Linked DNA regions of Elephas maximus indicus. The protein of the gene in region 1 purifies or fractionates together with the protein of each later gene. This does not show direct contact. Links are inferred from orthologs where the notes say so. Each region holds a gene or a part of one and is shown on either strand. Other genes may lie near its edges.

Evidence for each region. Proteins that work in one complex are often made in the same cells at the same time.
Region 2: the proteins of myeloid cell surface antigen CD33-like (region 1) and PTPN6 purify together in Homo sapiens (co-immunoprecipitation; 4 studies listed by BioGRID and IntAct, with this or other methods). This does not show direct contact. The link is inferred for Elephas maximus indicus from reciprocal best matches to the Homo sapiens genes CD33 and PTPN6.

What each region holds. Positions count from the first base shown.
Region 1 is NC_064829.1:97,040,395-97,047,864, reverse strand, and holds the start of myeloid cell surface antigen CD33-like, read left to right. Parts: upstream 1-4,458; 5' UTR 4,459-4,714; intron 4,715-4,782; coding exon of another isoform or gene 4,783-4,854; intron 4,855-4,922; coding exon of another isoform or gene 4,923-5,306; intron 5,307-5,519; coding exon of another isoform or gene 5,520-5,798; intron 5,799-6,441; coding exon of another isoform or gene 6,442-6,595; intron 6,596-7,470. Other genes in the region: sialic acid-binding Ig-like lectin 13, read left to right, coding at 4,783-4,854, 4,923-5,306, 5,520-5,798, 6,442-6,595. UniProt on the Homo sapiens protein: Sialic-acid-binding immunoglobulin-like lectin (Siglec) that plays a role in mediating cell-cell interactions and in maintaining immune cells in a resting state.
Region 2 is NC_064822.1:63,740,001-63,747,796, forward strand, and holds the start of PTPN6 (tyrosine-protein phosphatase non-receptor type 6), read left to right. Parts: upstream 1-4,780; 5' UTR 4,781-5,081; coding exon 5,082-5,095; intron 5,096-7,796. Other genes in the region: ATN1 (atrophin-1), read left to right, coding at 178-321, 664-844, 1,028-1,061; C4H12orf57 (protein C10), read left to right, coding at 2,815-2,866, 3,165-3,341, 4,126-4,277. UniProt on the Homo sapiens protein: Tyrosine phosphatase enzyme that plays important roles in controlling immune signaling pathways and fundamental physiological processes such as hematopoiesis.

The DNA.
Region 1 (7,470 bases):
CCCTTTGGGAGCAAGGGAGAGTGAAGAAAACTAAAGATACAAGGGAAAGATTGGTCCAAAGGACTAATGGATCACATCTACCACAGCCTCCACCAGACTGAGTCCAATACAACAAGATGGTTCCTGGCTACCACCACTGGCTGCTCTGACAGGGATTGCAACAGAGGGTCACAGACAGAGCTGGAGAAAGATTAGAACAGAATTCTAACTCACAAAAGAAGTCCAGACTTGGTGGCCTGACAGAGACTGGAGAAACCCTGAGAGTACGGCCCCCAGACACCCTTTTGGCTCAGTGATGAAGTCACTCCTAAGGTTCACCCTTCAGCCAAAGATTAGACGGGCCCATAAAAAAAAAAAAGACTAAAGGGGTGCAACAGCCCAGGGGCAAGGACTAGAAGGCAGGAGGGGACAGGAAAGCTGGTAATAGGGAACCCAATATTGAGAAGTAACAGTGTTGACATGTCATGGGGTTGTTAACCAATGCCATAAAACAATACGTGTAGTAACTGTTTAATGAGAAATTAGTTTGTTCTGTAAACCTTCATCTAAAGTACAATAAAATAGAAGAGAGAAAATTTAAAAAAAGGAATAAAAAGGTGAATTGTGTTGGGCAAATCTGCTTCAAAAGACCTCTTCAAAGTGTTAAAAAGCAAAGATAACACCTCGAAGACTAAGTTCGCCTGACCCAAGCCACGGTATTTTCAATCACCTCATGCAAGTGAAAGCTGGAAAATGAATAAGGAAGACCGAAGAATTGATGCCTTTAAATTGTGATGCTGGTGAAGAATACTGAATATACTATGGACTGCCGAAAGGATGAACAAAAATGCCTTGGAAGAAGTTCAGCCAGAATGCTCCTTAGAAGCAAGGGTTGTTAAGACTATGTCTCACATACTTTGGCATGTTAACAGAAGGGATCAGTCCCAGGAGAAAAACAGCATACTTGGTAAAGTAGAGGATCAGTGAAAAAGAGCAAGACCATCAATGAGATGGAGCGACACAATGGCTGCAACACTGGGCTCACTCACAGCAAGAATTGTGAAGGTGGGGTGCAGAACAGGTAGCGTTTCGTTCTGTTGCACGTACGGTCACTATGAGTTGAAACTGACTCAATGGCACCTAATAACAACAACTAACCTGTTGTTGTTATTAGGTGTCATTGAGTCGACCCCTTGTGTTACAGAGTACCCCGGCTCTATAGGGATCTCTTGGCTGTAATCTTGATGAGAGCGCGTGGCCAGGCCTTCTTCAACTGTTCCATTGGGAGTGTTCAAGCCACCAATCTTTTGATTGGTGTATGAGTTGGAATCAGGTTTGTGTTTTTTCGTTTTCTTGGTTTGAGAGCTTAACTATTGTACTACTACAGCTCCTATAGTTGTCACAGGAGTTGTTGTTGTTGTGTGCCATCAAGTCAATTCTGACTCATAGAGACCCTATAAGCAGAGTAGAACTGTGCCATAGGGTTTCCAAGTCTATAATCTTCACAGGAGCTGATATCCAGGTATTTCTTCCATGGAGCTGCAGGTGGGATTGAACCAGACCTTTGCACTTATCAGCTGAGCATTTAACTGTTGTGCCACCAGGGCTCCAAAAGGTTGAAAAATCGGTGTGCACTCTAAGTAACAGTTTCATGATGTACATTCAGATAATCACACATATTATCATGAATTTTAAACATCCAAATTTTCATATTCATTCCATTCCTTTACATGTTGTTGTTGTTGTTGGGTGCTGGCAGGTCGATTCTGACTATAGTGACCTCACAGAACAGAGTAGAACTGCCCCATAAGGACTCCTAGGTTGTAATCTTTAGAGGAGCAGATTGCCAGGTCTTTTCTCCCATGTAGCCACTGCTGCATTTGAACGGCAGTCCTTTCAGTTAGCAGGTGAGCACTTAACCATTGCACAACTAGCCTGTTAATTTCTAATTTCACTTCTTCTGCCTCAAACTCTGGAAACCCCGGTGGCACAGTGGTTAAAAGCTACGGCTGCTAACCAAATATCAGCAGTTCGAATCCACCAGGAGATCCTTGGAAACCCTGTGGGGCAGTTCTACTCTGTCCTTGATTCCTCGAGTCAGGAGTTGTTGCATTACATCCCACTTTAACTAACGCCAACCTGTGTATCAAACTAGTCCAGGGATATCTCAGCTTCCGTTCTCTGGTCAGTTCAGACCCCAGCTGCTTCCACACAGCCCTTTCTCTCACCCGGGTAGGTCAGTGGGTGCCGGCCTCAAGTCAGGGAGTTTCTATGACTCCCTCAGCTCCAGAACAACCGCAAGTTCCTCTGGTTGCCACACTTCCCTTTCCTCCGGCCATCTCAGAGTGACCCCATCTAGGGTTTGTCAAGTGCCCACTGTGGGCCAGACAAGGTCTTCTCTGAGCTTTTTCCTTGGGTGAACACTTTTGATGACCCCCACAAGCACAGACATCATTAGCCCCATTTAACAGCTGAAGAATGTGAGCCGCCGTCTAAGATACAACTCTTGTTCTTTACTCATCAGAGCAAAAGAGAAAGAAGGAAACCAAAGTCTCAGAGAAGAAGCTAGTCAACAGGGCTAACAGCCTACACAAACCATGAAAAACCCACCGCCGTCGAGTTGATTCCGAATTATAGCACCCCTATAGGGCAGAGTAGAACTGCCCCATAGAGCTTCCAAGGAGCTCCTGACAGATTCGAACTGCCAATTTTTTGGTTAGCAGCCGTAGCACTTAACCACTACACCACCAGAGTTTCCAACAGCCTACCCAAGCCACTGCCTTATATACCCTGAGACTAGAAGAACTAGATGGTTCCTGGCTACCTGGACCAACTGCTTCGTTAAGGGCCACACTAGATGGACCCTGCTAGATAGGGAGAAAAAAGTGAAACAGAACTCAATTTCTTAAAAGCCCACCCTTACTCCACCAGTTGAGACTGGGGGACTCCCTGAGACTATCACCCACCCTGAGATATTCTTTGAATCTTGAACTGAAGCCATCTCCTGAGGTCACCTTTGAGCAAAATAACAGGTTGGTACACAAAACTATATTACCCATGAATTCAGTGCTCCCTTAAAAAACCACCTATATGAGACCAAAAGGTCAACGATTACTCCAAAGCAAAGATGAGAAGATAAGGCGGCAGGGAAACTAGAGGACTGGAAATGGAAGAGCCAGAACCCAAAGAGAATGTCGACATGTTGTGAAAAATGTAACTACTGTCACTGAATAATTTGTATAGAAACTGTCAGATGGGAACCTAATTTGCTATGTAAACTTTCACCAATAAAATATAATTTAAAAAAAAATGGCTGAGGACACTGTGCCACAGAGTGTAAGCCCCTCTCTGCCTAAAACAGCACAGTGAACATTAGGGAGTCAGGCTCAAGTTCCAGCAACCTGCCTTCAGAGCCCCCACCCCTGACCTCCTCACTGGTCCACCAGCAAAGCCCACCTCCTGATGAGGAAGTTCCAGCGCAGTGTCTACCACCAAGAGCTTCTCTCTGAGGGCAGGACTTAGAATGGCCACTTGGGACCTGCCCTGGAGACACAACAAGACATCCACATCTTAGTCTGCAGAGAATGCTCACCTCCATCTCTGCACTAGATTGTCCCACAGACTGAGGGACATTCAGTATTACAGTTCCTCTCTGTGACCTGGTGACAGAGTCGATAATCGCTCAGCTGCTAACCAAAAGGTCAGTGGTTCAAACCCACCAGCAGCTCCATGGGAGAAAGGACCCAGAGATCTTCCGTAAAATGGTTACTACCTTGGAAACCCTATGTGGCAGTTCTACTCTGTCACATGGAGTTCCTATGTATTAGAACTGACTCTATGGCAATGGGTTCGTATGTTACCAGTGAGATGCCTGGGTAACGAAGTGGTTTTTGCTTGAGTATTAACGTATTCGTTGGTAGTTCGAACTCACTCAGAGACGCCATGGAAGAAAGGCCCGGCAATCTGCTCTAGTAAAAATTGTTATTGTTGTTCGGTTCTGTTGTGTAAATTCCAACTCATAGCCACCCTATAGGACAGAGTAGAACTGCCCCAAAGGATTTCTTGGCTGTAATCTTTAAAGGAGCAGGTCTCTAGGTGTTTCTCCCTAGGAGTCGATGGATGAATTCAAACCACCAACCTTTCGGTTCGCAGCTGGGGGCTAAATCATTTCACCACCAGGGCTCCATTCCTAGAAAATTCTATGGAGGAGTTGTACTCTGTAACACATGGGTTGCTGTGAGTCAGAATCGACTGGATGACAACAGGTTTGTTTTGTTTTGATTAATGTGACCAGTATTGTGACTCCATGTATGCAGAATAGAACGGTCATAGCCTCCTCTTTGACTCTGTTGCCCAGCAAGTAGTAGAAGATGCTCATGTTGTGGTTGTTGGATTCATTCATTCAGTCAGTCAGTCAGCCAGCCAGTCGGCGGTACCTCCCTCATTCCAGGGACACTTCCCCATCTTGCATGCCACATGGTTCTTCCTCAGGCCCCTCCTGAGTCCCACGCCTGGCAGGACTGGCCCTCCTGAGCATCTACAAGCTGTAACCCACAGAGCCTGGTCAGCCAGCGCCTGCTTTCCTGGAGTGAACAGTGGTGTGTGAGGTGAAGTCCACAGACAGAGAGCCAGGAGCTGGGGGTAGGATCTTCCTCTGCTGTGTGTGACCCCATTGGGACTCCATCTAGAAAGTAGAAGTGGTTTCCCTCCGGGCTCTGACAGCGTGTGGTGTGAGGTTCTAATTCTGCGGTTAGTCACTTTTCTGACCTCGTCCCTGAGCTTCCTGTTGGGGCTCCTTTTCAGTCCTCCTACACCAGGGCCCCGTGCTCCTGACTCCAAAGATGCTGCTGCTGCTGTTGCCCCTGCTGTGGACAGGTGAGTGGCCAAGGGGATGGGGCAGTGGTGCTGGGGCTGGACCTGTGGCTGACTCTTGTTTCCTACAGGGTCCCTTGCTCAAGATAATGAATTCCGATTGCAAATGAACGAGTCAGTGACAGTGCAAGAGGGTCTGTGCATCCTCGTGCCCTGCTCCTTCTTCTACCCCCGGCAGGGCTGGATTGACTCTGACCCAGCTCAAGGCTACTGGTTCCGGAGTGAGTCCAATTACTTCTCCGACGCTCCAGTTGCCACAAACGACGCAGGCAGAAAAGTGCGAGAGGAGACCAAGGGCCGATTCCACCTCGTTGGAGACCCCCGAGATTATAACTGCTCCCTGGACATCAGAGATGCCAGGATGGCAGACAAGGGATCATACTTCTTTAGGATCGTCAGAGGATCTTACGTGTTATATAATTTCAATCATTACCAGCTCTATGTGCACGTGACAGGTAAGGATTGGGGTCAGGGAGAGGCCACAGGGGAGGAGGGTGGTTCCTAGGACAGGGTTGGGGTAGGACCCCCTCCTCCTCATCGTGGGAGGGAATGAGGGGAACAGGATGCTGGGGCTGGCTGGGGATGAGTCAGCCTGACTGAGACAGAAGCTGCTTTAGGGAACGCCTAGGGATTCCAATTCCAGGGCCTTGGTTTCTCTCTCTCCCCAGCCCTGACACAGACACCCAACATCCACATTCAGGGGACCCTCGAATCTGGCCACCCCACAAGTATAACTTGTAAGGTGCCATGGGCCTGTAAGAGGGGGATGCCTCCCACCTTCTTCTGGATTGGGGTCGCTGTCACGTCCCTGGGCTCCAAGACTTCCAACTCCTCAGAGCTCACATTCATCCCAGAGCCACATCACCATGGCACGAACCTCACCTGCCGAGTGACCTTCCCTGGAGCAGGTGTGGCCACGGAGAGTACCATCCAGCTCAATGTGTCCCGTGAGTGCTGGGTAGGGACACCTGGGTCCCTGAGGGCAGTGTGTGTTGAGGGAAGTGGGGCAGAGACTGAGATGCTTGGTTCTGGGTCCTGGAAAAGGGGCTGGTGAGGAAGAGGACACTAGACTCCACCTCCTTCCTATTTCTCAAGCTTCTGTGAGAAAAGGGCCAACACCCATCTTCCTGTCACTGAAAAGAGAACAGTTACAGTCTAGCAATGCATAACATCCATTCGGGCAGCTTTCAACTGAATGTATGTCCGTGGACCCCTAAGGTTATAATATAGTTCAGAAATATGTGTAGTTTACCTTTCTATGCCTAAAAACCATTAGAGAAACACTTCCCAATACACTAAAACATCTTTAACATAATAATACAGTAATAATAATAATAATGTTTTGGTGAGAGTTGCAAAGTAACACCCATTTATTACTATGAACCATTGAATATACATCAAATTTTTAATATGATAGGATTTATGGGGGTTGGTTCATAACTACTGGTTGTACATAAGTCAGATGTTACTAAACCCAGGGACTGCCTGTATGTAATATGGTGTTCACACAGCATCCAAATCATATAACTTCTTTATCACAGAACATACATGGACGTTAAGCAACACATAACTGTATTTCTGTCTGTCCAGATGCTCCACAGAACCTGACCATCAGCATATTCTGGGAGAATAACACAAGTAGGGAGCAACTGCTCCTCTCTGGGGCTGTGATGGATGGGAGGTCTCTGTTCCTCAGAGCAGAGCTGGGGTCTCACAATTCAGGAGGGAGGAGGTCTCAGACCAGGTATGGGGACAGCAGAGGTGGGAAACCCCTCACTCCACTCATCAGCCTGCAACTGGCTTCCCTTCACCCTGACCTTGCTATCACCAAGATTGTCCATGAACTTCTCCTTACTAAGCCTAATGGGTAGCTGTCACCAGTGTCAGGGCTCTGTCCCCATCCCAAACCCTGCCCTCATGCTTCTCCGGATCTGGGCCCTAATTAGCCCCTCAGTTTGGTTTTTGTTTGTGTTGGTTTTTCTTAAAATGTTTTACTGCGGTAAAAATACATATAACAATACATTTGCCAATTGTACAATCCCATGATACTGGTTTTGTTCTTCATGTTGTGCAACTCTCACCACTATCATTTCCAAATAATTCCACCACCATTAACAGGGACTCAGTGCCCCCTAAGCTAAGACTTCCCCTTTTCCCCTCCTTATAATGTGACCACACATTCCTCCTTTCCACCCCAAATTTCCCAGGTCCACTCAACCAGCTCCCATCCCTTTCTGTCTTCTCATCTCGCCTCTGGACAGGGGTTGCCCCCATTTAGTCTCGTGTGTCTTCTTGAACTAAGAAGCACTCTCTTCGCGAATATCATTTTATATCTTATAGTCCAGTCTATTCTCTGCCTGAAGACTTGGCTTCGGGAATGGTTTTAGTTCTGGGTTAACAGAGAGTCTGGGGGCCATGTCTTCTGGGGTTCCTCCAGTCTCAGTCAGACCATTGAGTCTGGTCTTTTCACCAGAATTTGAGGTCTGCACCCCACTTTTCTCCTGCTCTGTCAGGGACCTTCTCTTGTGTTTCCTGTGAGGGCGGTCATTGATGGTAGCCGGGCGCCATCCAGTTCTTCTGGTCTCAGGCTGATGGAGTCTATGGTTCATGTGACCTCTT
Region 2 (7,796 bases), on another chromosome or scaffold:
TTCAGTGGGGTCTAGTCCTGTCCACCTTCCGACCCCCCTAGTTCTTTCATTCTGCCTTCTATTCCGTTCTGGATCTCCCTGTTTCACTGCCCATTTCTCTTCCCAGGTTTCCCTTCATCTAAATGTATAGTCTTCCCAAGCCTGCCTTCTGATGACACCTTCTTCTTTGCCCTCTAGCCTCTGCCTCGGTGCATCCTCTCATTGATCCCCTGGCTTCAGGGTCTCACCTTACCCGGATCCCCTACCCAGCTGGGACCCTCCCCAACCCCCTTCTTCCTCATCCTCTGCACGAGAATGAAGTTCTTCGTCACCAGCTCTTTGGTAAGGATAGAGGTTGGGAGCAGGGAGGCTTTTAACGAGGGAAGGGCAGAAAGAAGGAATTTGAGTAGTAGGATCGACCTAGCTGGGCTTTGGGAGGGATGAGGAAGTGCCCAGAGAAGCTGGGAATGGGAGTAGGAGAGCTGAGGCCCTGTCTCAGCAGGCATATGTTTTCATGCTGGGCTACAGAGGTTTGCATCCTGGCTCCTACCACTGACAACTTGCAAGACTAGGTGTGTTACCTAAATTCTTAGTCTCGGTTTCCTCTGTATGTAAAGTGACTGGCTGTCCCCTGGCCCATAGTGGGTGCTCAGTACCTATCAGTCATGTGCTTCTTGCCCACAGCTGCCCCCTACCGGGACCTGCCGGCCTCCCTCTCTGCCCCCATGTCAGCAGCTCACCAGCTGCAGGCCATGCACGCACAGTCTGCTGAGCTGCAGCGCCTGGCACTGGAGCAGCAGCAGTGGCTGCACGCCCATCACCCCCTGCACAGCGTGCCACTGCCCGCTCAGGAGGACTACTACAGGTATGGGGTACCCTGGGCCAGGAGTGGGGAAGTGGATTCTGCCAGCCTGGGATGGGGCTTGGGCATGGGATAGTAGGGCTCTAGGCTCCTGGAAAAAGAACGCCCCACCCGCATCTGTGAGAGGGGCCAGGTCAGGACTGACCTCAGGCTCATCTTGGCTCTGGACATGCCCTCTCCTCCTAGTCACCTGAAGAAGGAAAGCGACAAGCCGCTGTAGAACCTGCAACCAAGAGAGCAGCCATGGCCCCTGCATCTGGACCTTGGAGCCCCCCCCCCCCTCAGCCTGCCACAAAGAACCCAGGAGAGAAAACTGCTCAGTTGCAGGGCCTTGGCAGCTGGGCAGTTGGGAAGAGGAAGGGACAGACAGAAGGCCAAGGCTGGTGTGGGAAGGTGGGGAGGTGGGGAGGGTGGAGCAGAAGCGCACAGTATCTTGGACCAGGTCCCTCTTCCTTGTACCCCAGCTTTCCTCCTTCCTCAAGCCCAGACCTTGGTGGCCATCGCCCCCTCCCCCACCCCGTTGGTGTGATTATTTCATCTGTTAGATGTGGCTGTTTTGCGTAGCATCGTGTGCCGCCCCTGCCACCTCCCCCAAATCCCTGTGTGCGCACCCCCTGCGATGTATGCCCATCCCCCTCTTCCACATTAATAATTTATATATATAAATATCTATATGATGCTCTTTAAAAAACATCCCAACCAAAACCAAACAAACATCCTCACGTCTCCCCCGGAAGATGGCTACGACTCTTTCTTTGCGGGCTGTGGGGTGGGGTGGGGGTCTCTGCGCAGCAATGCCCAGAGAAAAAGCTGTGGAACCTGAGATTGGAGAAATGGGAGGGACAGGACCTGGGGAAGGAACTGGGTGTAGGGAGCCTGCAGAGCTGGAGAGGGGATCTTGGAAGAAGGATGGTTATACTGGGCAGGAGCGCCATGCCCCACCTGGGGTGCTGCCACTGCACGCCTTCCAAGGCTGGGGAAGTTGAGCTGTTAACAGGCCTGCAACAGGCCCGCCTGTGACATGGTCCTGTCTAAGGAACTACCCTTAACCCTTGGGGGTGTTCCTGCCACTGTTCCACAACTAGGGGCCACCAGAGTCCTCTGGAACAAGGGTTTCAGAGCTGGATCCTTTCTGTGGAATAGTTTGAGACAGTTATGAAGTGGATGTGGGCGTAGTTTCAAGTAGGTCAATGTGATTAGAACTCTAATTACCCTTCGGTTTTGAAGGAGTGGGTGACACTTTCAAAGGGCTGGAGGGGAAATAAGGGCGTTACGCTGCAGCGCCCACCCCTGAACAAGGCCATTTTAGGAAAGCACAAGAGATGCGCTTGCTCCCAGCGTTTATTGCTGCGAATCACAGGCTTCGTTCTTAAAAACTAAGGGGGGGGTGTGTGGCTGGCTGCTGTTTCAGCCAATCAACACCGCGCTCATTTGCATAGGCTCGTAACAAATGTTCACAAACTCTAGAAATGAATAATTGAAGTTAGTTCCTTAGAATATTGTTTTTTCTATTGAAAGCTAGTGGGCTCCGCTGCTTAGACATTACTGACTATTCAAAAAACTCCGCAGTCAGCTCACCCTCAGCTATAGTGGAGTCCAAGGATATCCCACGTTCTCTCCAAGACATATTTCTTCAGTGTTACAGCTCTTTTAGAATTTGTCTAGTAGGTCTTCTAGTTTTTCTGGAAGACCCTCCTTATGTGTTATTTTCAACAATAGACTTAGGTTTATTCGGGTGTGTGTGTGGTTTTTGTTAGTCCTGTTGCGTTAAGATATAAAACCCGTTCTGGTTATTTAGTTTTCCTGGAAGATTCGCGAACTGGGCCATTAAAACTACGCGGTAGCGGCTTCCGGCTGCGGCTGATGCTGCTTCCCATCCGCCCCCCACCGGCCTTACGAGCAGCTGTAGGAGGTGGCTTTTTCTTGGGGAGCATTCCCGCGGCTTCGCAGCACGTGCGGTTTTTTAGTTCTATATGGCGTCTGCCTCGGCCCAACCCGCGGCCCTGAGCGCCGAACAGGCCAAGGGTGAGAAGCATCCCTAATCCCCGGGGTGGGCTGTCTGCCGGGGGAGGATACGGCCGAGGATAGGGAGGGCAATGGCTGCAGTCGACCGGTGTGGGGGGTCCCCGCGTACCATTACTGTCCTTCTGTTAACTGGGGTCCTTGCGCCCTGGAGCGAAGGATTCCGGGACCGGATTTATCGGGTTACCAACGGCTTAGTCCCCTAATTCTCTGTCCCTTTCCCTGGGCTCTCGACCGGGCTCGCTGGTGGTGCTCCGACGCCTACCACGGTACACCTTCCTGGGGTGCCTCTGGGGCGCAGTGGTGTTGGCCGAGGTCATCCAGGCGTTCTCGGCCCCGGAGAATGCCGTGCGCATGGACGAAGCTCGGGACAACGCGTGCAACGACATGGGCAAGATGCTGCAATTTGTTCTGCCCGTGGCTACGCAGATCCAGCAGGAGGTCATCAAAGCCTATGGCTTCAGCTGCGACGGGGAAGGTGGGTTGGACGGGCGGCGTCAAGGTGGGTCGGGGAGAGGGCGCTGGATCGGCTGGGCCCCTGAACTGTGGTTCCCCTTGTTGCCACACGGCGGCAGCCACAATCTGACTAACAGCATTGGCACTCAGGGCGCAGGGTCTACCCTGAACTTGTGCCAGGCGAATTCCTACAGGAGCATTTTGTAGTTACCGTTAATCACTCTAATATCCTTCTTAATCACTCTAATATCCTATTTTAAGATGAGAGACAGAGTCCAATAGTAAAGTGGCCAGGGTCACAGCAGAGCTAGATTTGAACCCAGTTCTGCTAGCGTTTTAGTGAGAAGGCTGCATCACGAGAGCTAGCTCTGCAGCGCCTCCAAGGTGTTGAAACGGTAATCTCTGTTTGGGGGTTGGTGGTGAAATTTCCTTGGTGAAGTCACGCTGCGTCGCAGCCCTCCTGTGCCCCGTTGTAGACCTTGGACCTTGGACCTTGGACCTCTTGGGTATTTATACTTTGGATTCTTGTGACTAAACTGCTAAAATGGCTCACCTGAGAGTGAGATGCACACTGCTTCGGATATTTTTCAGTCACTGTATTCCTATCCAGCTGTGCTCAGCGTGGACCAGGAAGTGGTTGATCCAGGCCACACCGGAGAGAGGCCAGCCTGTGTCCTGTTTCGCAGACAGCTACCTGGCCAGTTGGGGAGCAGCCAGTGACTCATATCCCATCCGCATACTCCTCCCACCATCTTGGGTATGCCAGTCACCAGGGTGTGGGGTTGACTCTCCACTCCCCCTTGTAGGTGTCCTTAAGTTTGCCCGCTTGGTGAAGTCCTACGAAGCCCAGGATCCTGAGATTGCCAGCCTCTCAGGCAAGCTGAAGGCTCTGTTCCTGCCGCCGATGACGCTGCCACCCCATGGGCCTGCTCCCGGTGGCAGCGTGGCTGCCTCCTGAGGGGCTTGGCCCTCCCCTGTGCCCTGTGCTGATAAGGGAGTGGAAGACCTTAGCTTCCCAGAGGATAATAAATGTGCCTGTGACTTGGCCTTAGTGTCAGTCTTTTGATACCTTAACAGCCCCCCACCTCCTGTCTCCAGATTCCCTCACCAGTCCAGGCTGCCCCACCTCTCCCTTTCCAGATCTTTCCTATGCTCCCTGCTGGGCCCAGCCCTGCACCAGGCTCCTCACTTCTCCCCACCCAAGGAAGGGTAAGAGGGTGGGCTGGCCCTTCGACACACTGGGTGGGTGGGTAGGTGGGTGGAAGGGCCTGCATGGTGGTGCCTCCTCTAAGGCATTGGGCTTCCAGGGCTTTTACTTAGGCCCCTTGGTACCCACATTGGTCGGTTTTCCCTTAGCCAGGGCTACTTCCTGGTCTTTGCCCCATCTGCCCTCCCACTGCTCTGCCAGGTGGAGCTCTGGGTGGCTCCTCCCCTCAAAGGGAAGGAGGCCCTGGACAGGCTGACAGGCCTGCTGGACGACTGGGACTGGACCACTGAGCGGGACTAGAGGGGGAAGTGGGAAGTGGGCTGCTGTGGGCTGCCTGAGGCTAACCCCGCCCCACCTGTCCCTGCTCCAGGATCTTTAAGTCCAGGGGCTTGTCCCTGCGGTGCCATTGGCCTGGCAACCTGGTTTGAGGAGGAGGTAGCTGAGTTCTGAGTATTCTTCCTCACCTGGCCTGGGTCACTGTGCTCTGCTGTGGCCCTGGCTTGGCCCCACCCCCTGCGGCTCTCTGCCTGTTACTCCCCCAAACTTTCCTGGGAGATGCTGTCCCGTGGGTAAGTCCCCTGCCCCACCTGGGTCCCACAGGCTCCTGTTAGTTTGGGAGGGAGGGTTTCATGCTCATTCCTGACAGGCTATGTGACCATGAGCCTGACTGGGTCAGCTTCCTGTTCCTACATACCCTTCATCTCCCCAAGGTGCACGGACCCGCATGCTCATTCATGCTCCTCTGCCCCCTGCCTTTTTTATTATACTTTATGCCTGACAGAGGTATGGTCTATTCTCACTGTCTCACATTTCCACCTCTAGCCTCTGGTCCCCTGCTTCTGCCTCCTGCTTAGGATCTACCGCCCCTAGGTAACCCACATCACCTCAAGCATGACATTTCTGAAAGGCAAACCTGAGAAAGCTCTCCCCCGTCCACTCAGCTCCCCCCCTGCGCTTCCTAGTCTCTAGGTTTGGTTCCCTTAACTGCCCCCTCATCATTCATTCAACAAATAAATATTGAGCATCTGTTATGAGCTCAGGCTGCTAACCAAAAGTTTGGCAGTTCAAATCCACCAGCTGCTCCTTGGAAGCCCTATAGGGTGGCTATGAGTGAGATTATGTGCTAGGTACTGTTTAAGGTGCTGGGAATACTGCAGTAAATAAGGCAAAAACAGTCCCTGCTCTCATGGAGCTTACATTTTAGTGTGAAGTTGCAGACCAACCAACCCAATAAATAGAATCATTTCAGATATTCATAAATGTTATGCAGAAAATGAAACAGCTTCATATGAGAGTAAGTGCCAGGGGGGCCAGGGGCATTACTAGCTGGAATAATCAGGGAGGGCTTTTCTAAGGAGGTGGCATTTGAGCTGAGGCCTGGATGGTAAGGAAGATCCAGCCATGTGGTGATCAAGGGTCTAATATTCCTGACAGAGGGCATGGCAAGCACAAAGGGCCTGAAGAGGGAAAAAACAAGCAAAAAAAGGGCAGTATGCCTGAAGCAGAGTCAGCTAGTGGGAAGGGAGGCAGGGCCAGGGCAGGTTAGGCCTTGTTGAAGCATGGTTATTTTAAGTGAAAACCTGTTTAGAGAGTGTTGGTGAGTTTGTGGGTTGGTTGGCCCTCAAGTCCTGCTGATTGTTGCTTCCCACACTCACACATCTGCCCCTTCCTTTCTCTATGCTGCCTCCCCCAGTGCACGCCCTTGTCACAGTCAGCTCCACTGACTGGGTTCTTACTGAGTCTTCTGGCCCTTGATCCCTTCCATACCCCGCCACGTCATTTCCCTAAAGTGGCTTGGCAAGGCCTCCACCTGTGCAGAATCCTTCCTTGGTTCCTCAGCCTGGCCTTGTAAAACCCTCCGTAACTGGGTCCAGACTCTCAGAACAGCTTTGCTCTGGCCGCCCTGCTCCACTCACACCCCAGCCCTGCTCCTCAAGTGGGTCCTATGCAGGCCACCTCTGTGGCTTCGCAGATGCTGCCCCTGGTGCAGTGCCTGCTCACCTCTCCTCCATAATGGCTGTTCGGTGCCCACCCCACCTGCCCGCTGAAGCCTTCTGCAGCAGCATGGTTGGTGTGGTAGAAGGGGCAAGGCTCTGGTTTGTCTGCCTTCCTACTCAGTAGCTTGTGACCTTGGGCAAGTTCCTTAACCTTCCTCTCAGTTTTTGTTTCTAAAAATAGACTAATAATGCTAAGTAGAGTTGGGAGGCCAGCGGTGGTTCAGTGGTAGAATTCTATCCTTCCATGAGGGAGACCCAGATTCGATTCCAGGCCCACGCGTCTCATGCACAGCCAGCGCCCATCTGTCAGTGGAGGCTTGCGTGTTGCTGGGATGCTCAGCAGGTTTCCACGGAGCTTCCAGACGAAGATGTTCTAGGAAGAAAGGCCTGGTGACCTACTTCGGAAAATCAGCCAGTGAGAACCCTGCGGATCACGATGGTCTGAATGGCTGTGCGTGGGGTTGCCATGAGTTGGGGACCAACTTGGCAGCAGCTGGCAACAACAACAACAACAAAATAGGGTTGGCATGAGGATTAATGATATAATGTAAAATCTGTTGGCACTAAAACCCTACTACATATCAGCTCTTTAAGTATTTGGGAAATGCTGTTAAGCCCATCTTCGAGGTGGGGATACAGAGGCTCGGAGAAGTTAACTAACTTTCTAGAGGCTATTTCACCTTGTTTGCTCTTCCAGACTGCCTGTCTTCCTGATCTCTATCTTTATCTCCCTACTTCCCAAAGGGGTAATTTTCTCTTCTGAATTACCACGCACTTAAATTTTTTTTTTTTTTTTTTTGCTTTTCTAACTCTCAGTCTCCCTGAGCCTGTACCCTCGTTTTAAAAAGTGGGGAAAATAATTCCTACATCACAGGGCTGTCTGAGGCCCAAAGGAGAATGTGTGTGTGCTCTGCAATTCTAGAACACTATGCCAAGGTCGTTATTATTTTTTATTTTCCTGCCAAGGGGCAGCAGGGACCATACATCTTGTTTGAGTCTGTCTTTTGGCTTGGGACCCTTCAGAGAAATTCCTGCCTCTTGGATGGGTCAGGAGTTTTGGGGTGCCTCAACCTTGGTGGGTTTCCTTCCCACCAAGTGGGTTTAAGCCCCAGAAGGAGAGTGGTTTATGGCCAGGGTGCAGCGGGTGTTTGGTTCTGAACATGGACCTGGAACTTCGTGTGTAGTGAGGACTGTGTGTCCGTGTGTGGGTATTCGCGCCAGATCAGGTGTGTGTGTGTGGATAGACACGGACAATAAGATGCACGTAGTGGGA